Linked DNA regions of Alligator mississippiensis. The protein of the gene in region 1 purifies or fractionates together with the protein of each later gene. This does not show direct contact. Links are inferred from orthologs where the notes say so. Each region holds a gene or a part of one and is shown in the gene's direction. Other genes may lie near its edges.

What was found.
Region 2: the proteins of SPAST (region 1) and NUP160 purify together in Homo sapiens (affinity purification with mass spectrometry; 3 studies listed by BioGRID and IntAct, with this or other methods). This does not show direct contact. The link is inferred for Alligator mississippiensis from reciprocal best matches to the Homo sapiens genes SPAST and NUP160.

The regions. Positions count from the first base shown.
Region 1 is NC_081824.1:162,677,719-162,685,355, forward strand, and holds the start of SPAST (spastin), read left to right. Parts: upstream 1-4,523; 5' UTR 4,524-4,660; coding exon 4,661-5,084; intron 5,085-7,637. UniProt on the Homo sapiens protein: ATP-dependent microtubule severing protein that specifically recognizes and cuts microtubules that are polyglutamylated.
Region 2 is NC_081825.1:171,294,173-171,301,724, reverse strand, and holds the start of NUP160 (nuclear pore complex protein Nup160), read left to right. Parts: upstream 1-4,530; 5' UTR 4,531-4,566; coding exon 4,567-4,660; intron 4,661-4,742; coding exon 4,743-4,851; intron 4,852-4,954; coding exon 4,955-5,165; intron 5,166-5,933; coding exon 5,934-6,156; intron 6,157-6,787; coding exon 6,788-6,866; intron 6,867-7,552. UniProt on the Homo sapiens protein: Functions as a component of the nuclear pore complex (NPC). Involved in poly(A)+ RNA transport.

The DNA.
Region 1 (7,637 bases):
GCGGCGCGCGCTCCTGGGGAGCCGCAGCAGGGTCCGAGTGCCGTCCTGCCTAGGGGAGCCTCAGGCTTGATTAGTGCTATAGACGTGGCCCCAAGGCCTCACCTGGCTGGCATTGCCCTCGCAGGACTCTCCCGTGTGGGGAACAGCGCGCTGAGGGGGAGATGCTAGAGGTCAGGAAGGTTTTGATCCGAGGGGTTCACCCCCATGACCTGGCTCTCAGCTGTTACACAGGGTTTGGGGATGTAGCTACAGAGGATGATGGACAAATCAATTGCCATAGCTCTCCTGCTGCCAAATTTCTTGACTTGTGAGGAGCCCAATGAGCAGGATGCCATGGCTCTGCAGGCTGCATTTGGCCCACCAGAGGTTGAGCACCATATCTGGTCCAATGCTCTCCCTCTATAGCATCCATTTTTCCCCCTGTTGGAGACAGGGTACTGGGATAGATGGACTATTGGTGTGAGCCAATGTCTTGTGTTCTTAAGTATTGCTGGTGATGCTGCCTGGGCTGGGGAGGCAGGGAGCAGGGCAGGGTGGCACTTTACATGCTGACTGGCTCAGAGAGGGATAAGCTTCTATAGGTAACCTCAGATGTTGCAAAGAGATCATATAAGTGCCAGGGGCCACAGTGACTTCTTGGGGCCATGCAAGTTGGAAAAAATGTATTATTTTCTTGAATGTGGAGCAAAACTAACATGGAAATCTATGTAATGCAGCACATCCAGAAGCCAGCAATGCTCTGCATTGTACCCAACCAAGGCAGCACTCAGGGTGGAACTGCACTTCAGCTACAAACATTGTCACTTAATTTAATTTAATACTCTTCCTCGTTTTACAGTCATTTTCTGGGATCCTGATGTGAAACCTTGGGATCTCTATGGAGGAAGTGATGAATATTCAGTTATGAATGAAACCAGAACGATGATTTGAACAAACACTGCTTTAAAATTATAAACTCTCTTGAAAGAGTCAGGGCTTAGGCATTTCAAAATTAGGAGACATTTTTGGTTTGAATCTTCATGTGCCTCCATTCCACATCTGTAAATGGGATAATAATACCCCATCATTTCCAAGGGGACACTAATTAATGTTTGTAGTACTCAGATCCTATGGTGAGGGCACCACAGAAAATCCCCTGAGGAAATTAATAATTCTCTGCTCAGAACAGGTTTGAATGGTGCAAATAAAGCATGGGTTTAAAAAATATCAGATTTAAAAATGATGAAACAAAATATTGAAAAGCTGGTTATTCAGTAAGCTCTGTTTTGTGCACTGGATAGGGTAAGGATCTTATGGATAAAGAAGTGCATGGTTCAGAACTTAAATACACAGCACATGCATGAAGGGGACTGCAGCAGGATTGCACAAGAAGTTGCTTCCTCAATTTTCTAACATGCATCCCTTGGCAATCTTAATATCTGTTAAAAGTTTTGATGCAAGATTTCTTTGCTGATTATATTACAGAATCAACTAGAGATCACAATTAAGGATTGAATCCCCTATGCATCACCAGAAATCCAAATAAAAAATCTTGTTTTCAGAGAACTGTTAATCTGCATTTCAAACAGGATGCAATGCAGACATATGAATTGGGGGCGGTTGGAAGGATGAGGTAAGAAATGAAAGGATTTTAACAGCCAAGAAGAACTGGTATCTATTTTGGCACAGGTAGGTTTTGAGGAGGGATTTGAAAGAGGATTGGGTGGTTAATCTGAATCTTGATAAGTTTCTGTCATGCATTTGGGAAAGCTTGGAGGAAAACTGGGAGGTATTTGAGGGGAAGCGAACGGACAGATGATTGAAAGAGGCACACAGGGTGATGTTTTGAGGATGTTTCAGGCCATTAATACGGGATGTTGAAATATCTCTAATGCCCATCTGGCCCATGGGGCACAAAGGTTGTGAGTGCCCCTGCTCTAAGCGACCAGGGGCTCCATGGTTTGGAGGTTGCATCAGCAGAGACTGCATGTCTGCAGGCTGCACCAGAGAAAGCCACAGGCCTCCTGGACTATATGACACACATTTTTTTTTTTTAATTTCATGTTTCAGGCCAAATTAGCCAAATCAGTTCTGAATTCTATTGACTGAGCAGAACTCAATCATTCAAGTTTGTATGGCACTACCACTGGCAAGTATCCTGTTGCAGCTAGTGTGATGTGGAGAAAGACGGCTGGGCAGGAGGTGGGGGCCACACTCTAAGCCCCTCACAGGCCACCAGTTGGACAGCCTTCACGTAATCAGGGAAGGCCTGTACAAGCAATGAAACAAAAAATACAGGAAAGGGGTAACTGAGCTAAGACTACTGAGAAAGCAGAAGAGAAATCCTTATGTAAATCAGGGAAGAAACCACAGAACTTGGACAAGCAAACATTTTGGGAACAGGAGGCTCAACAACTACAGGAGGCATCAAGAAAACTACCAAAGAAAAAATACAAAAAGGTGAATCTGCATGGAAGCACCATTGGCAAATGATATAAGTGGTAAAAAAAAAAGGAAACGTCTACGGTGACTTGACAACAAATGCTAAAGAAGCATAAAAAGTAAGGAATGAGCATGTAACAAATCATTAAGCCTTGCAGTTCACCCAGATGAAAGCATTCTAGACATGTTAGATGAACACAACTGGAAAAGTAGAATCGTTATCAACTCTGAACTACCATAAAAAGCAGAGACAGAATAGTGGAGAAATAGGAAACCTGGAGACGCCGGTGCCAACAAAGCTTTACAAAAATATTCAGAAAGGTGTGTGAACTAGAGTAGGTACCAGATAACTGGCTAAGGGAAGTAGTTTTAGCAATCATTAAGAAAGCAGGTTTGATCAGATAATTTATAGGACTATAAACCTACCATCTATATTGGCAAAAGTCATGATGAAGGAATTTGTCTACAGATCATAGTTTGTGTTAGAGATTAAGTGGATGAAGAACAGTGCAACTCCAGACCCAATCAAGGCTGCATGTCACACTCAGATGGAAGAGGAATTGAGAATGGAGATTACAGATATCTGTTTTTATTAGCTTGATCAAAGCTTTGGAGAAAAGCATGATGGAGAGCAGCAACATCTCATAGTATTTCAGGTCAGCAAATTTCAAAATTATAACATCAAAGTACTAATCCCCCTACAGTGTCATCAAAACTTCTGGAAAATAAAGCAACAGTTTCAAAGTCAAAATTTGCTCTAAGAAAGGGGGCATAAAATAAGCAGTGCTTTATTTCATTCTTGTAAACCAAACATTGATAATGTTAGATGAGCTGAAGGGCATAACAGTAGATGACCTAGAATTCAGGTGTTTAGCGTATGAGGAGATAGCATTGTCCAGCTAACTATGTCTTAGACAGAAATAAATGTCAACACTATTCTGCTCCCCAGGTCAGCAGAGATATTCCAAAGTGAAATGAAGAAAAGCAGAACACCACCCCTGAGGCATGGGTAACCAGTTAATAAGAAGCATTCCTATCTGAACTGGGCAAAGCAGCACTTTAAATAGGTGCACACACTTGGTTTATGACAAGGACCAGTGGAGAAGACATCCCTTTGTTCATGGGAATGAAAGAAAAAAGGGGCAATGTTGGAATCCAACAGTAAAATGAGGGTTAAGTATGACTCCCACTGTGAACAGTTTTCAGACACACTTTTGGCAGCTTGAGAGGAGAAAACTAAAAGGTGACCCTCTTAAAGCCATTGTGAATTCTCTATATGAGGTCTATAAGGAAACTGGAATGCATTGGGCCCAGAAACAGGCAGGGGTGGTTGGGATGTGGGTCTACCAGGAAAGTGGGTAATGCCAGGAATCCTAGTTTTCTCTGCTAAAAAACAATTCCCCAATTGTTAGATTTAAAACATCCCCCTAAAATCCACATTTTTCCATGATTAAAATGAAGCAGCACTATATATCCATTTCTAGATTAGTGGTGTTTCATTTTAATCACAGAAAAATGTGGATTTGGGTTTTTTTTAATCTGAAAATTGGGGATTTTATTTTTTTTATCACAGAAAACCGAGATCCCTGAGCTTGACTGTATCTCCCCCCTCAGGCTCAGCCTGCTGTTCTCAGCACTAAGCGCTTTCGAGGCTGCTCTAGCCATCCGCCCGCCACGAGACCCGGGCTAAGAACGCCCCTCGGGCCAGGACAGGCTCTGCGCGCAGGGATCAGCCTGGCCCCGCCCCCTGCGGGCTTGGGGCGCGGCCTGACCCCCGAGCGCACCGGGGCGGGGGAGTTGCTGTATTGTGCCGGCGCAGTCCCGTGCAGGGCGGGGGCGGGGCTGTCCTGGGTTCTGCCCATGGCGGGGGAGGAGCGCAGTGACTACATTTCCCAGCATGCAGCGTCCCCCGCCTGCATGTAGGACGCTTCCCTTTCCCAGGATGCACCGCTTCCCTGAGCGACTGCCGCCCCTCTGACGGACTACACCCCCCGGCGTGCCCCGCGGCCGGCCGGTCCCTCCCTGCTCCGCGCCGCGGCTCGCGCGGTGCCTGCCGGGAGCTGTAGTCGGGCGCCCACCTGCGGCGCCCGCCACACCCGGCATTGTGGCCGCACGGCTGAGCGTGGCGGCGACAGCCGGCGCCGCGGCGCGCAGCGCTGTTCAGGAACGGGCGCTGCGCACTTGGCGCCGGGCCGCCGCCATGGCCGGGGCTGGCGGCGGGTGGCGGCGACGGCGGTGAATGAATTCTCCGGGCGGCAGAGGCAGGAAGAAGGGCTCGGGCGGTTCCAGCTCCCCGCCCCGCGCCGCCGCGGCCTCGCCCCCAGTCGCGCCCGGGCCGGCAGCCCCCCTCCCGCCGGCGGCCTGCGCCGGGTCCAGCGCGGGGGCGGGGGCGGGCGCGGGGGCGGGGGCGCCGCCGCCGTCGCCGCACAAGCGGAACGTGTACTACTTCTCCTACCCGCTCGTCGCCGCCTTCGCGCTGCTGCGCTTCGCCGCCTGCCGCCTGGGGCTGCTGTGCGCCTGGCTCTGCCGCCGCATCGCGCTCATGGCCGCCCGCGGCGCCCCGGCCAGCGAGCCCGGCGGGGCGCCCGACACCGTGCGCGCCTGCCACAAGCGCGCCTTCGACTGCATCTCCGCCGCGCTGCGCATCGACGAGGAGGAGCGCGGTGAGCGCCGGGGCGGGGAGGGTGGCTGTGGCGGGGCTCGGCTCGGCTCGGCTCCTGGGGACACGGGTCCGGGCCGCCGCTTCCAGCCCCGCGGGCTCCTCCCTCCCTTCCCCTGCTCGTTTCAGTTTACATAGATTTATTATCTAATTAGTTTATACTGGCTTATCTTTCTATATTATGATGGCTTTATATTTAGCTATTATTTATTTGTTTATACTTATTATTGATATATATATATATATATATATATATATATATATATATGATGGCTTTATATTTATTCATGCTTAAATATCAATTTGCTATATATTTGTTTATATCTATTCTTATACATATTATGTGTTTGTGTGTATTTATACTTGTGTATTTTATTATATATTTGTTTATATTTATACTTATTATTTACATATAATATAAACACCAAGTATAAATAAACAAGTACACAATGTGTTTACATTGATACTTTATTATATAGTACTATATTAGTAATATAGTACTATATTATATTATTTTATATTGATACGTGTTTTGACATTATATTATGTGCTTGTGTTTATACTTGCATATTTGCTCAATATGTAAACAATAAGTATAAATGTATATAAGATAAACACCAAGTATAAATAAACACATACATAATGCATTTATGTTGATACTTATTATATTGTAGTATATTATTTTATATTAATAACTAGTATTATAGTACTATGTTAGTGATAAAGCACTATATTATTTTATATTAGCGATATAGTACTATATTATTTCATATTTATACTTATTTAGACATTATATTATGTGCTTGTCTTTATACTTGCATATTTGTTTAATATGTAAATACTAAGTATAAACAAATACATAATGTGTTTATGTTGATACTTGCATTGTATTATATTATTTTATATTAGTAATATAGTATTATATTATTTTATATTTATACTTATTTAGACACGTGCTTGTGTCTGTACTTGCATATTTGTTTATATTTATACCTATTTATATATGTTACGTGTTTATGTTTAGATACTGTATTCTAATGTGTTTGTGTTTATTTATATTTAGCATTTATACATTATATTAGGTTGTGTTTATATTTACCATTTATATCTTTATATAAAATTTATTCTGACTCTCCTTTTAATTTGCTCTCATTTTGTCACAAGCGCTGGAGTTTTTAATAGCACATCTCCAGCTTTTAACTGGCAGCTCCTCCAAGTGTGGGCGCTCTCAGGTTAAACGCACTCCTCCCTAGCTAGAGGGGCAGGAACTATATGAGTAATGTGAATGTTGAAGAGTTTGCGTTGACAGCTGGCCTGTACAGTGTGGGAGCAACATTTTTCCTAGAAGAAGGAATGGTTTCATTTTGTATATGTAGCTACTGTTAATGGTCTTATGTAACACCTGCATTTTTAATGTTTTGGTGTTAAACTGGAAGCAAATTAGAACTGCTATTGCAAGTCTTCATTCCTGTTCTAGTCTGCCCTCTTTCCTATTGTATCATTTATTTTTTTCATTGTATGAAACTAATCAAACAGGAAATTGTTGTCATGCTGCTGTTTTCCTTTGAAACTGATGCAGGGGCACACTCCGCTTATTTAAAAGAGGAAAGTTTGGTCAGTGGTCAGTGAAATGTTGGGGTGAGGGACAGCAAAGAATTTTCTTCAGCCTTCTTTTATTCCACTTGTTGTTTTGAATTCCACACAAGGTTTCAGAAGCTGTTCCCAATGTATTAGACTCAGCCCAGCAGTCTACATGTAGCAGGACAGCCCTAGTTGTGTTCAAAAGGTGGGGGGGTCCTCTGAGACATGGCTTTGTGCTAGGCTTTAAAATTCTGTGGAAACATCAGCATGACTTTGAGCGTCTGCTTTGTAATACTGTAGTTTCTTTCATTAGAGCTCCTTGGGAAGAACATGGCAGTATTTTCCTTTTCTGGAAATCAGAATAGGGACAACATGCTCAGTGCATCATGAAAGGGACACAGTTATTCTGTATAGCAACAGCTTGTGAGTGGCAGTGATGCAGCTTTATTAATCTGAAAGAGATATTTGTATGATGCAGAACCTGTGACGGTTCAGGGACCAAAACAGAGGGCAAAGAAACTTGAGACTCTAGGTCAGGGGTGGGCAAAATGCAACCTGAGGGCTGGATGCAGCCCACCAGGCCATTCTATCTGGCCTGCAGGGCCCCTGAAAAATTTAAAAAATTAATATTAATCTGCTGTAGGCTGCCTGTCATGTGGCCTTCAATGGCTTGCCGAAAGTTAGTAAGTGGCCCTCTGACCAAAATAATTGCCCGCCCCTGCTCTAGGTGGCTTATTATATTTATGATGATAAGAAGTGTTTGCAGTTTTTAAAGCATAGATAAATCTTCATTTGGCTGGTATTCTAGCTTGTAGTAACAAACAGATACTAACTGCGTAACACCTTTACTCTTAACATTTTGGTGTTAAACTGAAAGCAAATTAGAACCATTATTCTGAGTCTTAATTCCTGCCTGTCCTCTTTCATGATCTATCTTTTTTTTTTTTTTAATAGTATGAAACTAATTAAACACTCC
Region 2 (7,552 bases), on another chromosome or scaffold:
GGCTTACCTGACACCTCAGGTTTACAGACAACTCAAGCAATGTACAACATATCTCAGCCCTGACGTGTCCCCCTGACCCTGCACACCTCCAACCATAGTTCCCACATCCTGCCTCAATCTCCTTTGCTCCTGCCCTAGCCTAATTTCTGCTTCTGAACAGCTGATCCCAGTATCCTGGATTCCTTGACCACAGTTTCTGGATCTTGGTTCTTGCCTTGGCTTCCTTAGTTTCAGAGCCCTAGTTCAATTCCTGACATATTCTTTGGAACCTCCTGACTTGGATGCTGGTTCTGCCTGCTTTACCAGACCACCTGTCTTACAGTTGGGTGGCAGGGCACGTGTGGGGCCTGGGCAGAATGAAAGGGAACCAAAGGGGATGGGCAGCGGGGAACAGGACTTGTGAAGAGAGATCATGAAAGACAGCAAGATGGGGCATGGAAGAGATCGGGTACCCATGAACTCCAGTATGTTGGTCTGAGAAGCATCAGTGCCAATGGTGAGCCATGGTACTTAGTTTGTGTGGAGGCCCTGATGTGATGGGGCTGTGATCTAGCATTGCCAACTGGTCACAGGAAGTGGTTGACCATAAGGCAAGTAGCCTCAAAAGGTGTTGGCCTCAACTTTTTGATCCTTGACTCCCAGCCCTATCAGCTTGAGGGGACCTGAACTTGAGGACCCAATCCTTATTCTTCCCATGCCTTAGGGTTCCTCTCTCCTATGCATCATTTTCCTTCACCATACTATTGGCTCCTCTCTCTCTTTTCCCCTTCTGTTTAATTACATTCTGGCTTTCATAGATTTCATAGACATTAGGGCTGGAAGGGACCTCAGAAGATCGAGTCCAACCCCCTGCCCAAAGGGCAGGAAGTCAGCTGGAGTCATAGGATCCTAGCAAGATAAGCATCCAGTTTGCTCCTGAAGGTGTTCAATGTGGGCGCTTGAACCACCTCCGGTGGCAGGCTGTTCCAGACCTTGGGGGCTCAGACAGTAAAGAAATTCTTCCTTATGTCCAGCCTGAAACGGTCTTGTAGTAGTTTGTGACCATTCGACCTAGAGGACTGCAATTGGGGTAGGTGAGAGTGGAGGGTGGGTCCACAGACACGTTTATTGTAATGGAAATTGTGGGTTTCTTAATGCAGTTTTAAGATGTGTGATGGAAAGTTTATGATAGAGGTATATATATATATATATATATATAACTCTCTCTCTCCCTAGAAATATATTTAAAAAAATAAAGATCCTGGGGGCTCCATGGAGATGGGCTTGGGCCAGTGGGATGGGGCTGCAGGTGGTGGGGAGCAGCGTTGGGGAGTGGGACAGGCGGGGACAGGAGTGCAGGGTGGTGGCAGCGCAGGGCGGTGGCAGCGCAGGGCCAGGCCAAGGTGTCTCTGGCACCCCTGGCCTGTGTAACTCGCTGTTCACTTTACTGCGCAGGCAGAGCTGGGGGCTAAAGCCCGAGGCCTGCTCACTGAGGCGGGATCCACCCAGCTGCAGCTTCTCCCTGCCTGGCCCCAGCTGTGCACTGCCTGCTGTGGTACGGCAGGGGCAGGAGGAGCCAAGCCATCCCTGGGCAGCTGCAGACCTGCTGAAAAGCTGTGCACGCTGCCAGGGGCAGGAGCATGGAAAGGGCTGCCTTGGGCAGGAGCGGGGGCTCAGCCCCAGGCAAAGCACCACAGGGACAGCCACCAGCCAGATATGATCAATTGGCGGGTGCCAGCCTGTGGGCTGGATCCAATCGGTTGGCAGGCTGCAGGCAGTATTTTGCCTACCCCTGCACTAGCACCACATCAGAGCATTGGGAGAGCTCTGTGCTGGATTTGGGCTACCCAGGGGAATTAATATACTAGATCAGCAGTTCTGAACCTTTTTCAGTCAACGTACCCCTTGGTCTCAGAGTGAGACTTCACATACCCCCTTTCAATGGGAAATTAATTTTTATGTCAAACTATGTGTAATCGTGTATTATAAAAATGGCAAGATCCTCATACAACGACTTTTTCATTTTAAACAAACTTTATTCCATGCACAGAAAAAGTGGTGCAAACCCCCCCCCCCCACACACACTTAGCATCAAATGCCAAAACATACCAAAACTTATTAGTGCGAACCCTGCTGCTGCTGCTTACTATCAACCAACATTTTAATTCTAGGCGATGTTATCTCACATACCCCCGGTTCAGAACCGCTGTACTAGATTATAAGGAAAGCAGCTTCTACTCCGGGCTACAGTTAAATACATGCTTTATGCTTTCTTGAATCATGGCTTATGCCTCTGCTTTAAAATCATGCACTGGTAGGGTTTTTTCCGGACATTGTCATGTTGCTGGAGGAATTTACTTAGCAAACTACTACTGCAGCTTTCAGTCACTGCTCTGTGACTTTCCTAAGTTCAGTAACTCATTGGAAAATTCATGTCATGCTTGTCTGCTATAACCCCCAACTGCCCTGCCCTTAAATAGTAACAGGAACATTAAAAATCCTTCTGATGCAGCTAGAGTTGGAAGCACATTTTGTCCCTGCTTTATTTGTATTCTGGGCCTATGACATGCGATCTGTTGCAGTGGAAGCTGGGATTTAATTTTGATTGTCAGGTAGCAAGGAAAAAAAACCCCTCTTCCTTTCAGCATTTTCCATTATTTGCCACCACCAAGTAGTGAAGCACTTTCCATGATAAGTGCATGCTTCACGACCCCAGGCAAAGAAAGAAATGATGTACCCATTTAGCTACAGCATGGTGTCTGGACTGTAATCTTTCTCAAATGCTTCTGTGTTGAAAAATATAACTTGATGATTGACAGTGGCCCCATACTGCAGATTTGATCCAAGAAAAGTTACAATGTTTAGCTATCTGCAGCTACAAAGCCAAAGACCCTGTAGCCATGCTGGTTTATGCAGCCAAGAACCTGCCCAAGGGCTTTTATGAGGGTGAAGTTGGTACATTATTTCTAGTTTCCAGTTTGTCATTCCCCATTCCAATGTCAGAGTTTCTCTTCCCGTGATTATAAATTTGTTAGCAATAAAAAAATCATGGCAGAGCTCTGTATTTCATTAACTATGTATATTGGCTAAAGGACTGTAATATAATATCACATATCAAGAACATTGTGCTGAATAAGGGGCCAAGTTTGTTTGGCATTACAGGGTAAAATCCATCTTGGGTCACTCCAAAAAACACAACTCCACCATTAGGGTACTCTCCAGAAGAAGGCTGTGCAGGGCCCTACCTGACCCAAAGCTTGATTTCTAAGCGGCCTGGTGTTGACTGACAGCCCCCCGGGCCTGACTACCGCGAAAGGGGCCGCAAGCAGGCCCTCAAAGGCTGGAACTGTGCCAGCCTGCATGGGAAAAGCCATGGTCGCCCACAGGAAAATGGAGAATCCATTTTTAAAGTTTGCTCATGACTGTTTCATATATTCTTGTGACCCACTTCTGGGTCATGATGACACACCCACAGGTTGAGAAACGCTGATGTAGCCCAACCCCTTGCCTCAGGCAGGATCATTCCTATCTAAACCATCCTGTACAAATCCATAACGTAACCTCTTAGTAAAACCACTCGGTCAACAGTGACACAGAGCGGATTGAACACCCTAACCTGCACAGGTAATGCTGGGGGGAGGGGCGGGGGCACAGCAGTCAACATCCTGCTCTTGCAAAAGGTTGTTAATATTTGCTTAAGAGTTTCACAACAGAGGAAGCTTGCTCTGAGGGCTTTATGGCTGAGGGCGAGCAAAACTCAGGGGCATCCAAACCCCAAGCCTGCAAGTAGGATGCCCGCCAAAGGTTTTGGAAACATGTGAAGCCCAGGCAGATGGGGTGGAGGATGTTTGCCAGTAGATGTATTCACTGACTGCCTGTCTTGCACGAAGACCAGCCCAGCCTGGCTTCTTTACTGTTCATTCCAGGCAGGAAGAGCACATGCCCACTGCTGAAACTTCCTCAGCCTGACAAAGGGTTTTTAAACCCAAAAGCTTGCTAAAATAAAACTCCCAACTATTTAAGTTGGTCTAATAAAAGACAGATTCACCCCAAGAACCTTGTCTGCCCGCGTCCTTACACCAACATGGCTACAACCTACACCCCTGCCGGTAGCAGGGCCACTTAAGGTGCTGGACTCCTCGATTTGGAATTGGTTTGGGCTAATTTGGCCTCGGATGCAAATCTAATAAAAATAAATACATTAATAATAATTTAAAAACAACTAGAGGAAAGCAACCCCCGCCCAGGCCACACCAATCGGACCAGGAACAGACGAACAAGACCCCGTAGCAGGGCCCACCTCAGTCAACATGCCCCCGGGGCCTCTGAGAAGAGCGCAAACCCCCCCTTAAAACCTTCAGACAAGTCGGCGGGGGTGGAGCAGACACCCGTCCTGGCCCCGCGCCACAACCAGCGGAGACGGGAAACGAGGAACTCGCCTCGTCCTGCCCCTAGGACGCCATACTGCCCGGGCGCGGCGGGGCCTCCCGCTGATGACGCGGCAGCGGGATCCGCCCCCGTCCCGTGAGCCCCCGCGGCCGGGCCGGACCCGTGGTGCCGCGCGGCGGCGAAGCGCGCGAAGGGAAGATGGCGGCGCTGCCGGAGCGGAGCTTCATGGAGCTGAGCGCTGCCGCGCGGGGCCCGCAGCGCCGGGCGCGGGAGGTCGTGTTCAGCCCGCCAGGTACCGCCCGCGGGCCCCGCGCCCCCGCGCCCGGCCCCGCTCCGGCTCCCCGCTAATCCCGGCCCCCTCCGGCTCCCCACAGGTGCCAGCACCAGCCCGGGCGCGGCGCGGCTCGGGGACAGCGCCGGCGGCTTCTGCTACCGGGAGAGCGCGCAGCTGGTTTCGGCCACCAGGAACCGCTTCATCCACTGGTGAGGGCGGGGCGGGGCGGGGGTCCGCTGCCCTGGGCAGAGGCCGCGCGGGGGCTGGGGGGACCTGGTCGCCGGGTGTGAACAGGCTGCGCTGCCCCTGCAGGAGCACGGCTGGGGACACGGTGGAGCTGGTGGAGGAGTCCCTGGATGTGAACCTGCTGAACAATGCCGTGCGGCTCCGGATCCAGAACTGCCTCCTGCTGCCTGGAGGGGTCCACCTCTGCGAGGTGCAGAACCACCTCGTCCTCCTGATCGTCACCAACCAGACCGTGCACAGGCTGGTGTTGCCCCACCCTGCCCGCATGTACAGGAGTGTAAGTTGCCTCTCAGCTTTTTCCTTCACCAGCCCCGGTGATGAGAATTGGGCTGCCCAAGTTCAGCTGCCCAGAGTAGGGGCAAGGGACCTAGACAGGCATGACAGGAAACTGTCTCCTGTGGGGTGGTCACAGCTAGATGTATCGCTTGGCTTACAAAGTAGGAAGCGCTCTTGTTTGCATGGGCAGGAAGGTGTGGCTTGGTGCAAATTTCCTGTGGGAAAAGTCATTAGGTTAATGTTTTTTCTCAGTATCCTTCCTGAGGTGTTGCGATCTCCACTCCCTTTGGGTCACTTGTTCCGTCTCTACATTTGCAGGATCAGGCCAGCAGACCACCACCTTAGCTCCAGGCTGTTTCATAGAAATTTAACTCATGGCACTTGCTAAGAATGAGCTGTTTAGACTTGAAGCAGGTATTGAGCGAAACACTGGTGCAGGTGTGGACACTGCCACTGGGATGTTAGCAGGTACGGGAGGGAGGGAGGGAGAGAGAGAGTAGGATCTAAGTTCCTGTGTTTTGGCAGCTCTCAGTTCTACCTACCCTTTGAAACTCACCCTTAAATAGCCTAGCTTTGCTGGTTAAATAAGGTAGAGAGACACAGGTTTGAATTTAGCTGATTTTCATTGGAAAGAACTAATTTCACAAAGCAGGAGCTAGTAGTTTTTTAAAGGTATTTGTCATTCCACGGACAAATCCAGTTTTACATTTTTCTAACCGCTCTTTGTGCTTTTGCAGTCTGGAGTCTTTGTTTTTATTTTATTTAACAGGAGCTGATCACAGAGAGCCAGATGCAGTCTGTATTTACAGATATTGGGAAGGTTAACTTTAGAGACCTGTCAAGCTACCACATGATCCCCAACATCCCTGGACTGGCATCTAATTCCACAGCCTCAGCTGCTTGGCTTAGCAGTGATGGGGAGGCTCTCTTTGCTCTGCCCTCTGCTTCAGGAGGAATTTTTATCCTTAGATTGCCACCTCATGATGTGCATGGTAAGAACTTAGAGCAGAGCATGTCCTGTCCTGCCACTTTGTATTTGTGTAGAATGTGTCATGGAAGAAAAGTCTCTAATCCATGGAAAGCAGCCTGTAGCCAAATGTAAGGGCCATCGTCAGTTGCTCTTTATAACACAATGTAGCCAGCATATCCCAGTCATGACAGTGCCTGTCTATGATATAAGAAGCAAGGTGGCTAAGTTCTAGCCTGCAGTTCCAATGGGGGAGCACTTTGAGGGGGCTCAGTGTGGGCAGGCTTTAATGTAAATAATACTTGTAAATAGTTCCAAGTAGGACATTTGGATGCCCCTTCTCACCTTGGGAGCAGATAGCAGTCTAGGCCTGATAGCAGAGAGTCCTGAGGAAGATCTTTTCCCCTTTTTCTCTGAAAAGGGCCAGCCTGAGCTTTTCCCCTTCCCCTCTGAAAAGGGCCAGGCTGATCTCTTCATCTTCCATGACACTTCCTATTTTGGTTTTCGATTTCAGCTGCCATTGACTCTCTTTTTAGTAACTGTAACAAAAATGAATGCTAAATGAGGCAAGTTGCATCTTGTATTAGTGACAGTGAACTATTGCATCAACAGCACACATCCCCTATACGCAGAGCTTAACACTTCTGTTTTTCTAGGAATGGTTTCTGTTGTGGAGCTGAAGCAGAGCTCAGTGATGCAGCGTTTGCTGACAGGCTGGATGCCAACTGCTATCAGGTTAGTGTTGTCTGGTGCCAAATAAGTGGGGCTTCCACTTTTTGCAGGGAGTCTTAAGATGGCTTCAGAGATAGACAAGTGCAGGGAAGGTGATAATGCAATTATATAGTGCTTGTTTTTGGTTACACAGATCACAGTACATGACTGCACCTAGGAGTGAATATATATAGTTAATTTTACAGCACTACCTCTGGATCTATATGTTTGTGGTTTTGATTAATATGTAAGTGGTTTAGCTGCACTGCATCTGGGAGGTGACGGCAGGTGGGGAGAACTGGTGGCTGCTCCCCACCAGCTGGAAGCTGCACCTGTGCCACAACAGAGCAGCGGGAGACTGGGAGAAATGGCAGTGGCACAGGTTCAGCTACCTCTCCCCCGTGCAGGTTGTTCTGGCCTGTGCTGGGAGGAGGCTACGGGAGGGGCTACAGCAACACCCCCCTCCCCCCCCCCCCCCCCCCCAATTTTGTCATAGCCCTCCCTGTCAGTGCCGCTGCTGCCTACCTGTTGCAGCCCCAGCTCTTTCCAGCATGTGGGTGGAGGGGGTTGAGCCGGGGCTACACTGGGTGGGTGGTGGCAGCACTCGGAGGGGTGGTTGAGGGAGTTGTGGTGAAATTTGGGGTGGCTTCTGCCCCCCATAGGCCCCTCTCAGCACTGTGGCTGCCTGTCCTGAGCCCAGCCCCTGCTGA